Arabidopsis thaliana: one gene and its partners. The protein of the gene in region 2 purifies or fractionates together with the protein of the main gene of each other region. This does not show direct contact. Each region holds a gene or a part of one and is shown on either strand. Other genes may lie near its edges. The genes, in order: AT5G12940, AT5G28590 and AT3G20820.

Region 1 (5,795 bases), 6.5 Mb from region 2:
AGGAATCTTTGGTAAGGCGTGAAGAGCTCCCACGCAAGGGATTCCTCTCTGCTCAATCCGCCGCCGATTGATCGCGCTGAGCTGGCTTCATCGGAATTGACGAGTAAACCCTGGAGAGAGATGTAAGCTAGCGGGGGAGACGATTGTAGAGGCTGGCAACGACGGGTAAAGTGAGTAGAGAGGCGACGAGTATACGGAGAGAAGAAAGGGGCGAGATGGACTGAAGCATGCGGAATTGGGTAAGACCCGGGATCCGGATCCGAACCGGGTTCATTCATGGACGAGCCGAAGAGGAATGGAGGAATCAACGAGGTTCGTTCGTCTTCAAAGAGAGATTTCAATTCTTCAAAGAGAGATTTTTTCAATTTTCAATATTCAATATTCAATTTTGGGTTCTTTGGAGTTTTCTGTAATTTCAAAATGTGAGATTTCCCCCGTAAGGAAGGTGATGCGACGTTCATCGTCTGGGTCTACATTGAAGCCACGTATTCATTTTTTTGCCTTTTTGGTTCATTTTCTTTTTACTGTCTCTCTTGTACTTTTCTTCACAGCCACATTTTTCTGGTGTTTTGATTTCCAAGGTTATTGTTTTGAAAAAACAAACATATATGTTTTCTGCTTATTCGTCTTTTTGTTAAGATTAATCGAGTAGTCCTATATAGAAAAATCATACTTTTATTTGTCTTTTTTTGGAACTTAATAAATAGTTATAGACACATTCTTTGAAAAACATTAGTCCAAAACTCACTTGGTCTCTCTCTTTATTTGTCTTGGGTTCTACCTTTCTGGCTCTCCTAAAATATATCTCACCTTCACCTTGTGAATTATCTCAGCCAGTAGAGCTCCAGTTCACCGTTACGCTTTGCATGGTGCGTCAATACTTAACCTTTATTCGCTGGTCTATCTCTCATGTCAGTCATGTGCTTGCTCATGCATTATTTACGGGAACCACATTTTTGTATTAGTTCTCATAACCCTTAATTGGGTATTTGATTGAACCACATTTTGCAAGCATTAATACACGATTACACGTGACGTCTAACGGTCTAAGTGATATATCCTCCAGTGATATAGACACGTGCTATGCCCTAGTCCTTGGGAAATCGACCTTTCTTTTTGTTTTTCTTCGTTTTCTGAATTATGAAAAGTCGTCTGTTGTTGACTCCCCTGCATACTACCTACATTTTTGTAAGTGTTATTCTATGCAATCAATCCCACAAATTTCTCATCTTTTTGCACTCAAAACACAGTTTACTAATTTAGTTTGTCACGTCAACAAAAAAATAGCCGACAAAAGTTATGTTTTGTGGATGATCATTTCATAAAACTTAATTGTATAATGATTGTTGTCATCATAATCCATGTTAATATATTTCAATCGACCGATGATTTATATGAATCAGTTTTTAAAGTTCTAATACACGGCAAACGAACGTCAAGCACATGCGCGGGCACATGAGTTGTCTTTTGAATAATCAAAGCCATTAATGTCACCCTTCTGACTTGACACTTCCTTCTAAATCTCTTGATACAATTATAACAACTACTAAATCTCCGAATCACGTTTACTCTAGCTGCTGTCTCCAAACCTGTCCTGTTTTTAGGGCCGACCATGAATTTTAAGATATATCTCAAGGGAAATAACTAAATACGCTAAACTACGTTGTTGAATTAAGAAGTTGATTTTCAACGTCTACAAACATAATTTCACTAAAGGTTGAATCTATTAGCGTTTCTGTTTGACGAAAACAAACGAACAGTTTAATCTTCCGCTGGTCTATGGACGATAAAATGAACAAGACAAAATAAAACCTTACATATTTGAGTCGTTGTTCTTTATCAAAAAAAAATAAAAAATTTGAGTCGTTGCTCGTCAGATTTTATGTCACTAGACAGCAACGAAAACAAGCACATAATAATCAAAACCGTAGCAGAAAATGCCAATCAAAGGTAAATTATGGTTCATGGAGGCAATTTGCAAACAATGATTAGGATTGTGTCATACTGTAGAAAAAATTAACAAAACAATTTTTTTATTATTCATTGACTCGAAGGTTGAACAAGAAGGTCGAAAAAATAAACATCTTTACATGGGGGTTCATATTATTTATGTACAAATTGCTACCAAGGACAAAGATCACATGCTCATCTACAACGATAAGATCAATGAATTTGACAGTATATTAATAAATCATGCATCTATACATAAATAAAAACTAGTAGGAACTAGTCTAGTCAAAAAGTACAGTATTATGGACAAGATATGAAACTAGCTAGGATAATACTAATTGCTGTAGCTTAAGCCACTTGAATGTTGTCCCTCATTATTATGTCCAAAAAATTCAATGTAGACAAGAAAAAAGAACTAATACTAATATATGTCTTGCCACGATTGTTACTTTAATCTCATTTTTCAAATATTATGGTCTCATATAGCCAAATCTGTAATTCTTATATTCCAGTACGTATGGAGAGACTCGGGAGAGTCGAACCAAGAACATGCTCAGGCCTTCTGAGTTGTGACATAGATAGTACAACCAGGCGACCGAGACAAACAAAACCATGTTATTTGTAATGAATCATAATGATCCAATCTTGACCACACACAAAGAAAAGTCTGATAATAATGAAACAAATGAGCATGCAAAGTATGTGACGACGTGGCAAAAAATGAGAAGGTTCAACGAAGCAACAAAAAGAAGTATTTCGTCGTCTTTACTCCCATCAATATGTGACTATAAATAAAACCATATAGTTAAGTCACACTTCCATGTCAACGTGCTTCAACCTATGTAAAGCTAAAAAAAAAACACATCACACAAAAGATTCTCTACACTATGGATACTAAGAAATCGTTAGTGATCCTATTGACTAACGTCGTCGTCTTCTTGCTTCTCTCCACGACTGTCCATTCTTGCTTACCGTCCGACCGAGCGGCGCTTCTAGAGTTCCGAGCAAAGCTCAACGAGCCCTACATTGGAGTTTTCAACACATGGAAAGGTCTAGACTGTTGCAAAGGCTGGTATGGTGTGAGCTGCGATCCCAACACCCGTCGAGTCGCCGGCATTACACTCCGAGGTGAATCCGAAGACCCGCTTTTCCAAAAGGCGAAACGGAGCGGACTAATGACCGGCTCCATTTCGCCCTCTATATGTAAGCTCACTCGTCTCTCCGGTATCATCATCGCTGATTGGAAGGGAATCTCCGGTGTGATTCCTAGTTGCATTGAGAATCTCCCTTTCTTGAGACATTTAGATCTCGTCGGAAATAAATTCTCCGGCGTGATTCCGGCGAATATCGGGAAGTTACTGAGGCTTAAAGTGTTGAATCTAGCTGATAATCACTTATACGGTGTGATTCCTCCGTCGATCACGAGATTAGTGAGTTTATCGCATTTGGATCTCAGGAATAACAATATCTCGGGAGTCATACCGCGAGATATTGGTCGTTTAAAGATGGTGAGTCGTGTCCTTTTAAGCGGTAACAAAATCTCGGGTCAAATACCCGATTCTCTGACCCGGATATACCGGCTCGCGGATCTTGAGCTCTCGATGAACCGACTCACCGGTCCGATTCCGGCTTCGTTCGGTAAAATGTCGGTGCTCGCGACTCTCAATCTCGATGGGAACTTGATCTCCGGTATGATTCCGGGGAGTCTATTGGCATCATCGATCTCGAATTTGAATCTGAGCGGGAATCTTATAACCGGAAGTATACCTAACACGTTTGGACCGAGATCGTACTTCACGGTGCTGGATCTTGCGAACAATCGTCTTCAGGGACCGATTCCGGCGAGTATCACGGCGGCGTCGTTTATTGGTCACCTTGACGTGAGCCATAACCATTTGTGTGGGAAGATTCCGATGGGATCTCCGTTTGATCATCTTGACGCGACGTCGTTTGCTTACAATGCTTGTCTTTGTGGAAAGCCTCTTGGGAATTGTAAGAAATAATTAATTAAATTATTGTTTAAAGATTTGAGGGAATCATTATATAGTTTGATTATGAATATTATTACTATAATTTTCACGTTATCAATGTAACTATAAGCAATATTTTTATCTGGTGTTTAAGTCTTCTTGTTTATCTGTCTTGATTGATTCTCAAACTATCATCAATGAGACACCTCGAACCAAATGAAATGAGCTAATAGGATAAACTTTTCAAATACGAGTTTAGAAATGTGGACCGACCACGCTTGTGAGATCAGTAAAGCCCGGGATACATTCAACCATTTGTTCTGACTAGACTTTACAAATATGGACTATGGTATGCATATTAAATTCGTCTCCTTACATACAATTCAAAACAGTTTGGTTAGAAGTGTAAGTGTGTAACACTTTTAAGATACGTTTTTTTCTTGTATCTCTTGTTTTGGTGTGTTTCACTTAGAGATTGGTTTCATTCAAATTTCAGTTAGTACATTTTTCTGTTGTAATGTTAAACCAGAATTTGTGTCTATGTCCATTTTCTTTGTGACGCCAGGTCTATATGTCCAATTAGGTGGTCTACTTAACAAAACATATTTAAGTGGACCGTATAGGCCAAATTGGTTTGGTGGGCTTGTATCCAATGTCGGTGGTGCACCATGCATAAGTAGTCGTCTTTTGGAAGAACGGAAGATATAAATATTGCCATAACTCCACAAGTTTTTCAACTGAGTTTTAATTAGTCGTAAATCAATATTGACGTAAAAATATCTCACACCTTTAAGCAATTCTGTGATGACCGCGTTGCTGATCATAGCCTCCAAAGGATGTGCAATGAACTATAAATTTTGCGATGGAATTAGTCAAACTACATTTTCTTTGTGATGATCTCTTTGATCCGTTATTGAACACACATTTCATATTTCAAAGATAAAGTAAGAATATTGACAAAGTTTCTGATAGATTACTCTATAGCACAAAACACAATAGTCACTACTAGCTAGATTACATAAATTTATTCATTAATGGTATATTGATCTAGATTCTGTTATAAGTAATAATGGCTAGCTTGCCCGGTAAAGATCATCACAACTATATAGTAGACATAGTTTTTTTAGAAGAACAACAAGATACGACACAAAGAACACGTGAATACCGTGCGGGAGAGAATTGCACAACAAGTATGTGATGCTTCTAAGTCACTTTTATTATTAACAGGAATACCGTACATGAGAGAATTCCATAACAAGTTTGTGTGCAAAGTATGCTTTGAAGCATCCTATTAGTTAAAAATATTAATGGTCCATGCTGATTGTAAAATTTCTAGTAATAATTGTTTCAACGTAACTGGTTTTAGACAAACGTATTGACATATGCTTACAAAAGCCTGTTTCTTAAGTGTTGAGGAAGACTTTCTCTCAAAGTATTCTTGTATGAGCTTTCTATGTTCTACAATAATTTCATAAAACTCATCGATTAACTATTAAGTATTCCAATTATTGTAGGGTAAATGTATTTAACTACCATATCGTTGAAAAGATAAAAAATATATATATATATGGTCTTACAATTAGAGACTTGCTCGGTCTTGGTCTTACTAACTAATCCCCCTTCCACTATATATGTGCAATAAGTTTCTTAGCAAGATTAGTCTCACCAACTCGAAGCATTGGAATGGATAAAGATATACTTTTGACATACTTTTGAACTATTAGTATGAGTTTAAATAAAATCAATTCTTCGACACCAACTAGAGTTGAGTTATATACATATGCATTGACACACAAAACCTTAGTCCTATACAGTATATTCTACATAGCTTATCAACTGAACAAGGTTACTGCCTTTGTAGCAATCCAATAAGGC
Region 2 (6,840 bases):
TGAGGAAAGGTCCTCTGAAAGCTGCTTTGGAGTGTAGTTGGAGGAACCCTGGTTCCCTGTAAACCTGTTGCCACTGAAGTTGCCATGTGGCTGCCCAAAATTTCTATATCCCTGACCACCTGTGTAGAAGACTCCTTCCTCTGACTCAGGCTCAGGCTCAATAGTCTCTTCTTCAGCTACAAAGTGGACATGCTTCTTCCCTATGAGCAAGTTATGAACTGAATCCAGCTTAGCATTCACCTCTGCCATCTGATTTCCTGAAATAGCTCCAGCAATCTTTTTTCTCTCAAAATCAGCATTCTTGGTACTGTTGCTACAAGCGAGGTTCTCAATCAGGGCTGTAGCATCAGCTGGATAACGTGTGTTGAAGTTACCATTGCTCGCTGCATCTAGAGGTATCTGGTATCTCCAATCAACTCCTTTGAACAAGGTACCTAAAAGTTGTACCTCACTGAAACCATGATGTGGGCAATCTCGTTGGTACTCCTTGAAACGAACCTAAGCAGCCTTGAAAGCTTCAGTTGGACCTTGTGTGAAGGTAGACAGCTTGTTTCTCAACTCCTCATACTTAGCACCATCGTAGAAATTGTTCAAGAAGGCTATATTGATGCTTCTCCAAGTCTTGAGGGAACCTACTTTAAGTTGTTTCAGCCAAGAAGCTGCTTCCCCAGTAAGTGAATAATGGAAGAGCTTGCACAGTAGGTAGTCCTCTAAGACTCCATTAGCCTTGATACTTAGAACAAGGTCCTCAAATCGCTCGATATGATCCATTGGCTGCTCATGAGATAAGCCATGGAAAGGATGTTGGCCAACTAAAGCAAAGTAGCCAGGCTTCAGCTCATAGTCGTTCCTCTGGAATGGTGGGGGTACAATTGCTGATCGATTAGCATAGAACAGGTCTGGCCTGTTGAAATCCCCAAGAGTACGACGTGGTTCCGCTGCTGGAGGAATAGCTGCAGGAATCTGGTGTTGGTGTCGATCGACACCTCTGTTGTGTCATTCAATACCGATTGCATCCGCGTTCTGCTCCCGAAGGTGTCGATCGACACCGAGCCCTGCTGCATCTCTAGCAGCTAATTGTGCATTGTGGCGCGCTTGATCCTCATTGGCGTCCTCAGGTATGATGAGTCCATGATCATCCAATCTCTGACCAGCCTCATTGTAGGCTTGCCCATCCTCATCTCTCAAAACTCGTTCTATATCAGCTCTGATGACTCTGTCAACAATTGCTAATTTCTGAGTTTTTCGGTTGGTGCATTCAAGTTTTCCCAAGTCCAGAACAGATAAGTTGCTAAGCTCCTTCTTTTTTGTGCTCCTTGTTTGCCTAGGCATACACCTGAAACACGGAAAAGAAGAAAACAAGAAACGCGTAAGTAACAAAATAGAAGTAAAAACTATACGAAATCTCTAAACAAAACTCAATGATGATTCCCAAGAACTTCGGCAACGGGGGGAAATTTGATATGGTTCAAATTACCTAAAACTACTCTCTCAAATAAGAGATCAATTGCAGTATTTTAAGATCAAATTCACGGAGTTCTTTTGTTCAAACAATGAGTTAAATGTCAAGATAAAGCTAGTAGGGTATAAGTGAAATAGTAAGTAAACTAACCAAGAAAACAACAGGATGATTGGGTTGTAAACGATTAGGAAAAGATCTAACGAAAGGTAGGTTAGTGGATCTAACGAAAGCTAGGTTGTTATCGAACCATTCTTAAACTCAAACTCTAATTATGGAATAATCGGTGGGCGTGCCGCAGAACTCCCTATGTCTATAGCTTATAATAACCGGAGAAGCCGAGAAACTATCAACCTAAATATGCATTCTTAACGAGTTCAATTGTTCATCTTAGTAGATAGGCCGATTCTTATTATACACCTATAAACCAGACTCATCAAATAATAGATCCAACTACAGATACCTATGGCGGGCATATCTATTGTCTGGATTCAAGATCTAGTTAATTATTCTAAATCTAGCATTAAACATAATTAAAGATGAAGAATTCTATAGATAACCTAGCAAAGGGAACAATCTACTAAACCATATGAATCCCTAATGAGAAACCCTATTCCTAACAAGCAGATTACTCAGACATATTGGATGAAGCAAACAACATATTTGAGTGTGAAAGCATAAACATAGTAAATAGAGAAGGGGAAAGAAGGGATCTCTTCACTGTATTAATGATCTGAATGAAACTCTGAAAACAATCGATGATTAGCTTATGTCTCTCAGTAACAGGGTTTTGTAGAAAACTTGATAATGAAAACTGGATGAAAGACTTGATAATGAAAACTAGGGCTAGAAACAATATATATAGACCCTAAAAACGTCCAGGGACTAATAATGCAAATAGGGAAGTCTTCTGGGGTAAATTTCCTCTTCTGTAAACTCGAAAGCGTCTAGGACTTTTGCTGGGCCGAAACTGGTGTCGAGAAATAACATAAAGACTCAAAATCCTATACCTAAAACATAGATAAAATCAGTGAAAATCGGGTTATATCAGTTAACAAGCGCAATCAAGCTATCCCTAGACAACATGTTCAACAACAAATCAATTCAATCCCGTGATAGAAATCCTCAAGCAAAGCTAGCCCAAACTAATTCCCATTAACGGAATCTAACTATGCAGGCAATAAGAACAGACTGATAAAGTCAATAAACGCTCTATACGGCCAATCCCTTGGGATAAAGACGAATATCTCATGAACTAGTGGATCAAGCATTCCATCAAACACCTTCTGGGTGCGGGAATGCTTTAGATGGAATTTCAGTTGATTAGAAAGAAATAAGCAGTAAACACAACTAGTCGTGAAGGGATTCAATCAATTCTAAAACTTAACCATTCTACAGACTAAGGATTCCACAACTATTCTATCCCATCCTTAAGAACTTTATGTCACTACTCAGACAACATGCTCAAAGACATAAACGCAGATAAATGATGATATTGCATAAGTAAAGAGATAAAGAGTAGAGAAACAAGATGATAGATGAAATCAAATGCGAAATCTGAATAACTTGGAAAAATCTCGAATTACAGGTTGCAGAAGCAAAAGCGGCGCAGCCAGAGTAAAACAGAAAATAAAACTGAAGCAAAAACTCAATGTCGACTAGATGTACCAGGACAAAACCCTCGGACACCTATTTATACAAAACAAAATAAAATGATAGTAGACGGGCTAGTAACCTAATCGCTCGGCCCATAGAGTGATAATGGACCGAGATGGGCTTTTTGATCTGATGGAGCTCCAGGCCGTTTCCATACACTTCTTCTTCTCCACTTCTCTTCCTTGTTCTCAGCTTGTCTGGTTAAGTGCGGATTTGAGTCAACTCTGAAGATGTGGTCTAGTGCTTGATCGAGTGATGGTGATGATTGGTGAAGGATATACTCGGTCAAGGGGTCGAGTAACGTGGTAGAGTGAATGGCCGAGTGGTGGTCAGGTGGCGTGGCATAGTGATACTCGACCAGCGGGTCGAGTGGAGTCATCGAGTGGCTTAGATGCTGTTACTCGAGCAGGGGGTCGAGTAGATGGGAAGAATGGCTCCAATGTATTATAAACGGCTTAACCGCCTAAAATCGCCTACGATCCGATTCAGCGTCGCGCTTTCGTGAACATTGCTCAAATCATAACACTAAATTTATTTCCAAATCCTTAAAATAAATCGAGAAACAAAAAGAGATCAGAAAAAAAAAATGAATTTCAATCTTTGATCTTTTGATGTAACTTTCATAGTATTTGAGTTTCTATAGACACTCTTTGTGCTTACAAATGTGTAATCTATTGGAGCAGAAACTTTGTTTTGAACACATTGAAGAATGTTTCTAGTATTGCTTCATTTTGCTGATTTATGGTCTTTGTTTTGTTTAAAACTTGTGGCAGTAGTACCAATAGTTTAATGAATTCATGTTCTAGATTCAATTAATAAACTATGTGAATCGTAAATTGTTTGAGTTCTATGTGAATTGTATTAAAGTTTCAATCTTTGATCTTTCTATGTAACTTTCATAGTATTTGAGTTTCTAGAGACACTCATATGTGTTTATAAATGTGTAATTTGAGTAGAAAGTTTGTTTTAAACACATTGAAGAATGCGTAGATTCGTGTGTCTAGTGTTGCTTCATTTTGCTGATTGATTTGGTTTGTTAAAACTTGTGGCAGCTGAGTTCATGTTAAAGCTCATTTGATCACCATTGTACTCTTTCTTGCTGTTTGAGTTCTATGTGAATTGTGTTAAGTTTCAATCTTTGGTCTTTCTATGTAACTTTCATAGTATTTGAGTTTCTATAGACATTATCTGTGCTTACAAATGCGTAATGTATTGGAGTAGAAACTTTGTTTTGAACACATTGAAGAATGCGTAGATTCTTGTTTCTAGTGCTGATTGATTTGTTTTGTAAAACTTGTGGCAGCTGAGTTCATGTTAAAGATTCAATTAGGTTATAAGATCAACTGATCAACATTGTACTCGTCTTGCTGTTGTCATTTTGTGAGCTTCACATAAACATTTTTTTTTTCCAAGGAAAACTGGGCAATGTTTTACTCCACACATTGTTAATATAACTCCTGGTGAGGTGAGTATTTTTCTTTCATACTATTCTAAAGGCCTTCTTTTGAGATTATGATTTGGTTAAAACTGTGAATGTATTCATAATGCATTTGATTTTGTTGTCTTCTTATGTGTTTTGCGGATTAATTTGATAGGATGTGGCGGAGAAGATTGTTCTTTTCACTCAGCAAAGCAAGCATCAGTTATGTGTTCTTTCTGCATCTGGCTCCATCTCTAATGCATCCTTGTCTCACCTTGCATCAGGAACCAGTGTATCTTATGAGATTCTCTTGTTACTATCTAGTCCCTCTAAACTAGTTCTTGAACTGACTTTGTAAAAAATGGCTTTCTTGAATTGATTCTCTGTTAAAGAAATTGGTTTCTTTTGGGAACTGTTTGTTACAATTAAACTTCGGTTACAGCTAAAGAATTTTATTGACTTCTGACATACATGCTTGATAATTGCATACGATCATCAACTTGCTTCAGAATTACGAACTTTTATTCAGGGTCAGTATGAAATTATCTTACTGAGTGGATCTATATTCGGTGCGAGCACGGGGGTAAAACTGGTGGCCTTAGCGTTTGTTTATCTAATTCAGATGGTCAGATCTTTGGTGGAGGAGTTGGGGGACTCCTAAAGGCTGCTGGTCCAGTCCAGGTATCTTTCCTCTTGTCTTATAGTTTAATTTACATGTGTGCACAAACTCACCTAAATCTAGAAAATGGAATTCCTTGATTATTTGCCAAGTTTGATAGGGATAGTCTCTCTGCTCTTGGCTTTGGTTTCCCGTACAGGTGGTTCTTGGCACGTTTCAGCTAGAGAAAAAGAAGGATGGAAGAAATGGTGCGAAAGGAGATGATGCTTCGGGAAGTAGAAACATGTTACCTTCTCCTTCTGGTACAGAATCTTTGTTGGGCTACCATCCCGATATGGAATCTTCCGGAAGAAATCCAAACGATGAGCATCATACTATTACTAGTAGTGCATTGGGTGGTGGAGCTCATTTCATGATGAAACCACCTCAGGGCATGCACATGACACATGCCCGACCTTCTGAATGGGGCGGTACTGGGTATGATTTGTCAGGTAAAAGTAGCTAACCACTTACTCGTTTGTATCTTTTGGGGTTTCCGGTGTGTTCTCGAATATTTAGTGAGACTGATAATATCACAAGCCTTAATAAGATTCTTATTGTTTGTTGTTTGGACTGTAATGGTGGCCTTATGGATGTTATGTTGTGTAGGACTGAGAGGAAATGGGTAATCAGAAAATGGAGATTATGAGTAAATGGCAAAGATTAGTTACAGATTCAAGTTTCCGAAGAGACGAAGAGACGTGTGTAGGGTTTTAGATCAAAACTGAGGTTGAGCCTGAGTCAGGGTGAGAGTGGACGTATCATCATATAATGTCTAAAGGAATTTTTCATTGCAAAGGCAGAGAAAGAAAAGTAAAGAAGACAGTGATGCTTTTGTTCTTGGTTCAGTGTAAAATTATAATAACTTCACTTTCTTTTTCTGGATTCTCTTTGTTTTCATCCTTTTTTTTTTGTTCTTTTTCTTCATATAATCAGTTTTTCTTTTTTTGGTTAATTGTATTTTTTTTTTTCTCAAACGAATTGAAAATTTAGAAATATGGACAATCATATATATATGAAAGAAGGCAAACTCTCTACTACAACAGACTACGTTGATTGTAATGTTGTTTACTAGACTAAAGTGGTCTTTAAATCTCTCAAGAAAAACCAAAACATCTATATATACGTTATTTTCTATCCTGTAAATACTTTTAGTAACAAATACTCAAACAAACATTTTCCTCTATATCACTTAAAAGCACAATGTTTCTCATGAATGCCTCTAATCTAAATCGGGGAAAATGTCGTTTAATTGCCGAACTTTACCAAAATGCCATTTTATACACCAACTTCGTATAAGATCGTTTTAAACATTAACTTTGCGTTGACTTTCATAATTTTGTTGACCGGGCCTAAATATACTCGTCGTTAAATCCGATAACGGACCCATTAACAGCCGTTTAGATCCGTTAACATCTCTTTGTTAGTGACAAAACTGCGTCGTTTTCGACTTAATCGGCACTTATACTCAAATTAGTCGACAAAAAATCCCCAATTCTCAAACTTGATATCCCTAATTCCCAGAAACCTAAATCGAATTGGTAATTACAAATCTTTCACAAATGCCTTTGGTTCGAAACAAAGGCGTTGTATCTAGGATTGGGACAACAATGTGAGTCTCTAATTCGGCAGCTGAAGTTGAAGATC
Region 3 (5,929 bases), on a different chromosome or scaffold from region 2:
CATGAAGATGTTTGTTTGGTTTACGTCTATGTTGTAAAAGACAATTGAGAGCTCTTGGTACAGACATTTTTTAGGTATTGGTAATGTTTGTCTTTGTTTCAAGTAAGAAATGGTTTAATCAAAATCTAATCTTCAATTAGTATCTTCCTTTTAGTTGGCTTATGTCATTGTAATTGCACTTATCTTGTTGATATCATTCATTTTATATATAACTTGCGACCTAACCAATGCTTTGGAGTTCGTGGGTGATTAATATACTCATGCCAAAACCAATAATTAATTTCTTGACACGTAATACCCGCAGCAACTGAGCTGTCGCATGACAAGCCAAAAAACCATCAAGTTTAAAGAAACAAAATCCACCAAGATGAGATTTTTAACTCGCAAAGATTTTTGTTCTTTGGGATGTAACATTAAATAGTAGACGACAGATTTTATGCGAAATACAAAAACTTTGAGAAAATAGTTTTAAAAAAGACATATTGTACCCCTCCAGGTAAAAAAGATCTAGTCCAACACCTATAAACTTTGAAAACTCTACTAGCATTAAACTTTGGACATTACTATGTCTCGCATAATCGCCTTTAGGAATGCTAAGGACAAAAACATGTTTTACAGTTATTGTCTGTGAGCAGTAGTTTCATGTGGCTGCCGTTTATTACGAAACCGTCGGTGCTGAATTAGAGACACGGACGGTGAAAAATCATAAACGGTAAATGCTTTTACAACCATTTATCTATATGCTTTGAAGCCCAATCTTAGCCCAAGCCATGATACTAGAAGCCGAATCAAAAGCTAATATAGGGCTTGATTGGTTCTCCCTCTGCCACCCGCAAACGCAGCGTTTGCGGGTGGTAGCGGTTATTAGCGGTTGGCACCAATCATAGAAACCGCTAGATACCGCTTTGGACCGCTTGAAATCACCAGATTTCAAAAGCTCCTTCCCGCAAGCGTTTGCGGTTGCGGGCGGTAGCGGTTAGGTTAAAAAAAAATTAATTAATTAATTAAAATAATTATGTCTTCCACCCAAACCTTATACTTATTCTTATCAGAAAACCCTAATCAATGAAACCCTATTCTCTCAATTATGGCATCCACCCAAACTGACAAAAATCAAAGTCAAAATCAAGAATCAAACGTAAGTATGATCTATCCTTTCATCCATTCATTAGCTAGTGTAATTCTCGGAATATTTCATGGCATCGTTGTTTTTTTTTATTTTGTTTTTTTTTGAGTTTTTTGATTGAATACATGTTTTGATTTGTTTTCTCGATTAGAAAATCATTTGGTCAAACGAGACCACATTTGCGTTACTTCAACGGGTTATTGTGGAGAAATAAACGGAAGAATCCAAAGACCCCAAAATCAGATTTCTAAGTGATGTTCAAAAAGAAAATATTCTTAAGAATATTAACGTTTGGAAAAAATTTGAGTTGGAGATGTGTTAAAAATCGTTTGGATATCTTGAAGAAACTTTATCATATGTATAGAGGCAATCCGGAAAACCCGCGAGTTCAACGTTATTTACAGTTTATCACACTACTTGATGCAATTTTTGGTGATGTACCAAATGCATAAAGTATTAAACTTTTTCTTACAAAATTTATTTATTTTTGAATTTTTAGTTTTATTTATGGTTTTAATTATTAAGTATGTTTAATTTTTCAAATATTATCAATTTATCATAATAATATATTGTATTTTTTTTCTTTTAATAGTAATATATTATATTTATTTTGGTTATTTTTTATTTAATTACTATCGCACCCGCTGGTTTACCAGTCATAAAACTCCCGCAAACGCACTCATTACCAAACGCTCAACCAGTCGTTCAAAACACTTGATAACGTTTGAAACCGCAACCGCCCGTTTCCGCAAATTCCCGCAACCGCAATCGTACCCGCTGCGTTTAAACCAGGCCCATAGTCAACATAAGTTACGGAACCACAACTATTTGCGACTCGAAGATGTGTATCGTCATCTCATAACATGATTAGAAAAAGGATTAAAATGCAAGAACATAACCACGTGGCGTCATGTTGACCCTGTGATATGATTGTAGTAAGCAACAAGCTTATCCAACCGGCAAGTCGCATCGGAAAATCTAATCGTAGCTTCAATTATTTGCATGGGAACTCTCCCCCACTTTCAGTTCCTGTCTCTATCTTAATTTGTCTGCAACCTTTTCTATTACCATCTAATGAATGTGCTCAACACTATAAATCCATGTGTATGTTTCTTCATTTTTGTGGCCATATTATTGCTACAACTAGTTATTACAAACCACACAATCACATGTTACTCAAACAACAAACCCACATGTTAAAAGTTATTACCAATTTCTTACGTTCTCGTTTTTTTGTGTTTAAGATATCTAACATGAATTTGACATTTGTTGTTGACTAATTTGATGTAGAATTTCTTGATTAATCAAGATTACACGAACACAAGCTTCATTATTGAACGAGGCCAAAGTGTCTAATCTTACCCATATCGAATTATTATTTTAACAATTTCACGTAAAAAAAAAAATAAAGCAAAGTATTGTCCTTTTTTTATTAATATATTTTTAAAAATTCCCTCTTTTATTTAATATCCTCTATTTATATGCCATTAACGTCTATCTTCTTCCCTCACCCATCAAGTCCCAATTCCCAACACTGTCACTCAAAAAGAATCTTCAAACAATGAATCTCAACGTCGTCGTTTTACTCCTACTCCTTCTAATCTCATCCGCCACGTGTTGTCCGCCGTCAGACCGCCGTGCACTTCTAGCTTTCCGATCAGCTCTTCACGAGCCTTACCTCGGCATTTTCAACTCATGGACAGGCCAAGACTGTTGCCACAACTGGTACGGTATTAGCTGCGACTCGCTCACTCACCGAGTCGCCGACATAAATCTCCGCGGCGAGTCAGAAGATCCAATCTTCGAACGAGCTCACCGAACCGGTTACATGACCGGACACATCTCCGCCTCGATATGTGAGCTCACTCGTCTCTCCGCCATTACAATCGCCGATTGGAAAGGTATCTCCGGCGAAATCCCTAAATGTATCACTCGTCTTCCTTTTCTCCGTACACTCGACTTAATCGGAAACCAAATCTCCGGTGGGATTCCATACGACATCGGAAGATTAAACCGGTTAGCTGTTTTAAACGTAGCCGATAACCGAATCTCCGGTTCAATTCCAAAATCATTAACCAATCTCTCTAGCTTAATGCATTTAGATCTCCGTAACAACTTAATCTCCGGTGTAATCCCGTCGGACGTCGGAAGATTAAAAATGCTCAGCCGTGCGTTATTATCCGGTAACCGAATAACCGGTCGGATCCCAGAATCATTAACCAATATCTACCGGTTAGCTGACGTGGATCTCTCCGGTAACCAACTCTACGGTACAATCCCACCGTCTCTAGGACGTATGTCGGTACTAGCCACACTTAACCTCGACGGAAACAAAATCTCCGGCGAGATACCTCAAACTCTGATGACGTCGTCGGTGATGAATCTGAATTTGAGCCGGAACTTGCTACAAGGGAAGATACCTGAAGGGTTTGGACCAAGGTCTTACTTCACAGTTCTTGATTTGTCGTATAATAATCTGAAAGGACCAATACCGAGATCGATCTCAGGTGCGTCGTTTATTGGTCATTTGGATCTTAGCCATAACCATCTCTGTGGGAGGATTCCGGTAGGTTCACCGTTTGATCATCTTGAAGCGGCGTCGTTTATGTTTAACGACTGTCTTTGTGGTAAACCTTTAAGAGCTTGCTTGAAAAATTGATTTTTATATGTAATTTGAGTTTTTTCATTAGAGACATTATTATATTTATGGTTATGCATTTTATAAAAAAAAGATTTAAAATTGTATGCTACGTTTAGTTGAATTATGGGATGATTAACAAAATATATAAACTTCCAGTTTCATTCGTCACACGATTGCTATCATTTTTAATTCAATTGTTTGGTTTTTTGTAATATGTTATATGTGTACGTATACGATTACTATAAACTGTTTTATAGACGATTAAATTTTCTCTATAACACACGAACATATTTGATAATCAATTATGTTTACTGTGACAAGAGTCAATATTGGGAATATATCCGAACATAGGATATACATGGAAATACCTACGGATATGTTCGTATTTAATGTATCGAGTAAACTATTTTTTGTTTTTTCTTACATATTTTATACGATATACATATAACTATAGACTAGGAATGCATTTAGTTGGGTTTGTTTAAGAACATTTATTCTAGAGCCAAATACACATAATATGGAAAAATTCAAATCACAATCACATGAAGAAGAATTAAATGAAACATTAAAAAGAAAGCGTTGTGGGGGTAATAAATAAATGGGCAGAGGCATTGCATGTGAGACTCTGTAAAGCATTTTGCGGTGAGTGTTAACCTCAGGACCTGTCGCTGCTTCACTACATGGGTCTACTCTTTATGTCACTGCATTCATTGCTTATGTCTCTAATTACACACATTTATATACTTGCTTACAAAACGTTTTGGGCTCATACAGCTTTAGAGTCCAAACTAATTGGGCCTACGTACGTTGGTCCCTATAGATTTTTATGGTTTAGAGTCCATCACAAATCTTGTTTTCATACTTTGTGGTATGTAAAGTTGAGATTCAAACAAACCATTTGTACAACGTATAAATTATGTATTAAGTTTGAACCTATTTGATTATATATTCCGATAAATAATCTGCCATACATCATCAAAACAAAATGATTTTTTTTTTAACATGAACTAAAGAAGAAGAAGAAAGTTGTACAAGTTCTTTAACTCTCTCCCTGCCTTCTGTTGCTTATGGAATAAGGTTGGTCGAACACAACATGTGATCACCTTCCTAATATCCAAATCTTCTTTTGTCCTATTAATTATTTATTTTTTCCAATATTTATCTTGATGGATTTTAGTATAAAATACCCATTGTCAATTTTGAGAAATGCCAAACTATAATTATAGGTTTTGTCCACTTTCTTTTTTTATTTTTTATTCCTCCTTTTTGTATTTGTCTTAATCAGTACTACTCGAAATACACTTTGTTCACTACTTGTAAAAACTCTTAACATACTTGAATAGGATCTGTTTTCTATAATTAACAGAAACATTACAAAGAACCAAATGCATAATGGTATGCAAGAAAACAAACCATATGAGTCATTGTTTAAATTGACTCTCCTTGTACAGTGAAACTTCTAGCTAATTACTTTTTTTGGTGACTGAACCAAGCTAAATCTAATGGAACAAGTGTTATTCAAAATAAATAAATTGATAGCTACTAACAAGAGCGTTGAGAACGTTACAATTAATATGTTAAATAATCAGATTTTAAATTTTGTGCAATCTCCAAAACTTTTCTGCTAACACTTTACATGGATCTTTGTTTTTCTTTGATCAAAGATCGTTTGTGAAATGACTTTCTAAGGCATTTTCGGTGTGACTTTCAAACGTATGTATTGTAAATAAAAAGGACATGTACGTATTTTCAAACACTATAAATCATTTGTAAATGTATGCTTTGCAAGTTTTGGGCGGAACACCTACATAAAAGTTAATTTTTCATTTTCAAAGCCAAACACCTATCTTTTTAGCTTGTAGGTGTATCCTTAATATGGGTAGGACTTTGTTTTACCCGTGACTTTGCTTTTTGCTCCATATCTCAACACAATTGCATCTATTGCTATATCATAAAAACACAAAAAGTAAGCTAGTCTTAGATCCATCGTAGAGACTCGAGATGATATTGAACCACTTCTATACATATCTCTCCGTGATAACATTTTATAAAACTATAGGAATGATAGCTAGAAACTTTGAGTTCTAAAGAAGAAGAGACAGATTTATCATAACTTGTTAATATGATAATATCAGTAAGTATTGGATTACTAATTCAGCTCC

The links.
Region 1: the proteins of AT5G28590 (region 2) and AT5G12940 fractionate together in Arabidopsis thaliana (co-fractionation; one large-scale study listed by BioGRID). This does not show direct contact.
Region 3: the proteins of AT5G28590 (region 2) and AT3G20820 fractionate together in Arabidopsis thaliana (co-fractionation; one large-scale study listed by BioGRID). This does not show direct contact.

The regions. Positions count from the first base shown.
Region 1 is NC_003076.8:4,084,945-4,090,739, forward strand, and holds AT5G12940 (Leucine-rich repeat (LRR) family protein), read left to right. Parts: upstream 1-2,744; 5' UTR 2,745-2,837; coding exon 2,838-3,953; 3' UTR 3,954-4,202; downstream 4,203-5,795. Other genes in the region: AT5G12930 (inactive rhomboid protein), read right to left, coding at 1-278.
Region 2 is NC_003076.8:10,578,265-10,585,104, reverse strand, and holds AT5G28590 (DNA-binding family protein), read left to right. Parts: upstream 1-3,545; coding exon 3,546-3,616; intron 3,617-4,528; coding exon 4,529-4,580; intron 4,581-4,710; coding exon 4,711-4,827; intron 4,828-5,111; coding exon 5,112-5,216; intron 5,217-5,353; coding exon 5,354-5,659; downstream 5,660-6,840.
Region 3 is NC_003074.8:7,278,243-7,284,171, forward strand, and holds AT3G20820 (Leucine-rich repeat (LRR) family protein), read left to right. Parts: upstream 1-2,549; 5' UTR 2,550-2,687; coding exon 2,688-3,785; 3' UTR 3,786-4,135; downstream 4,136-5,929.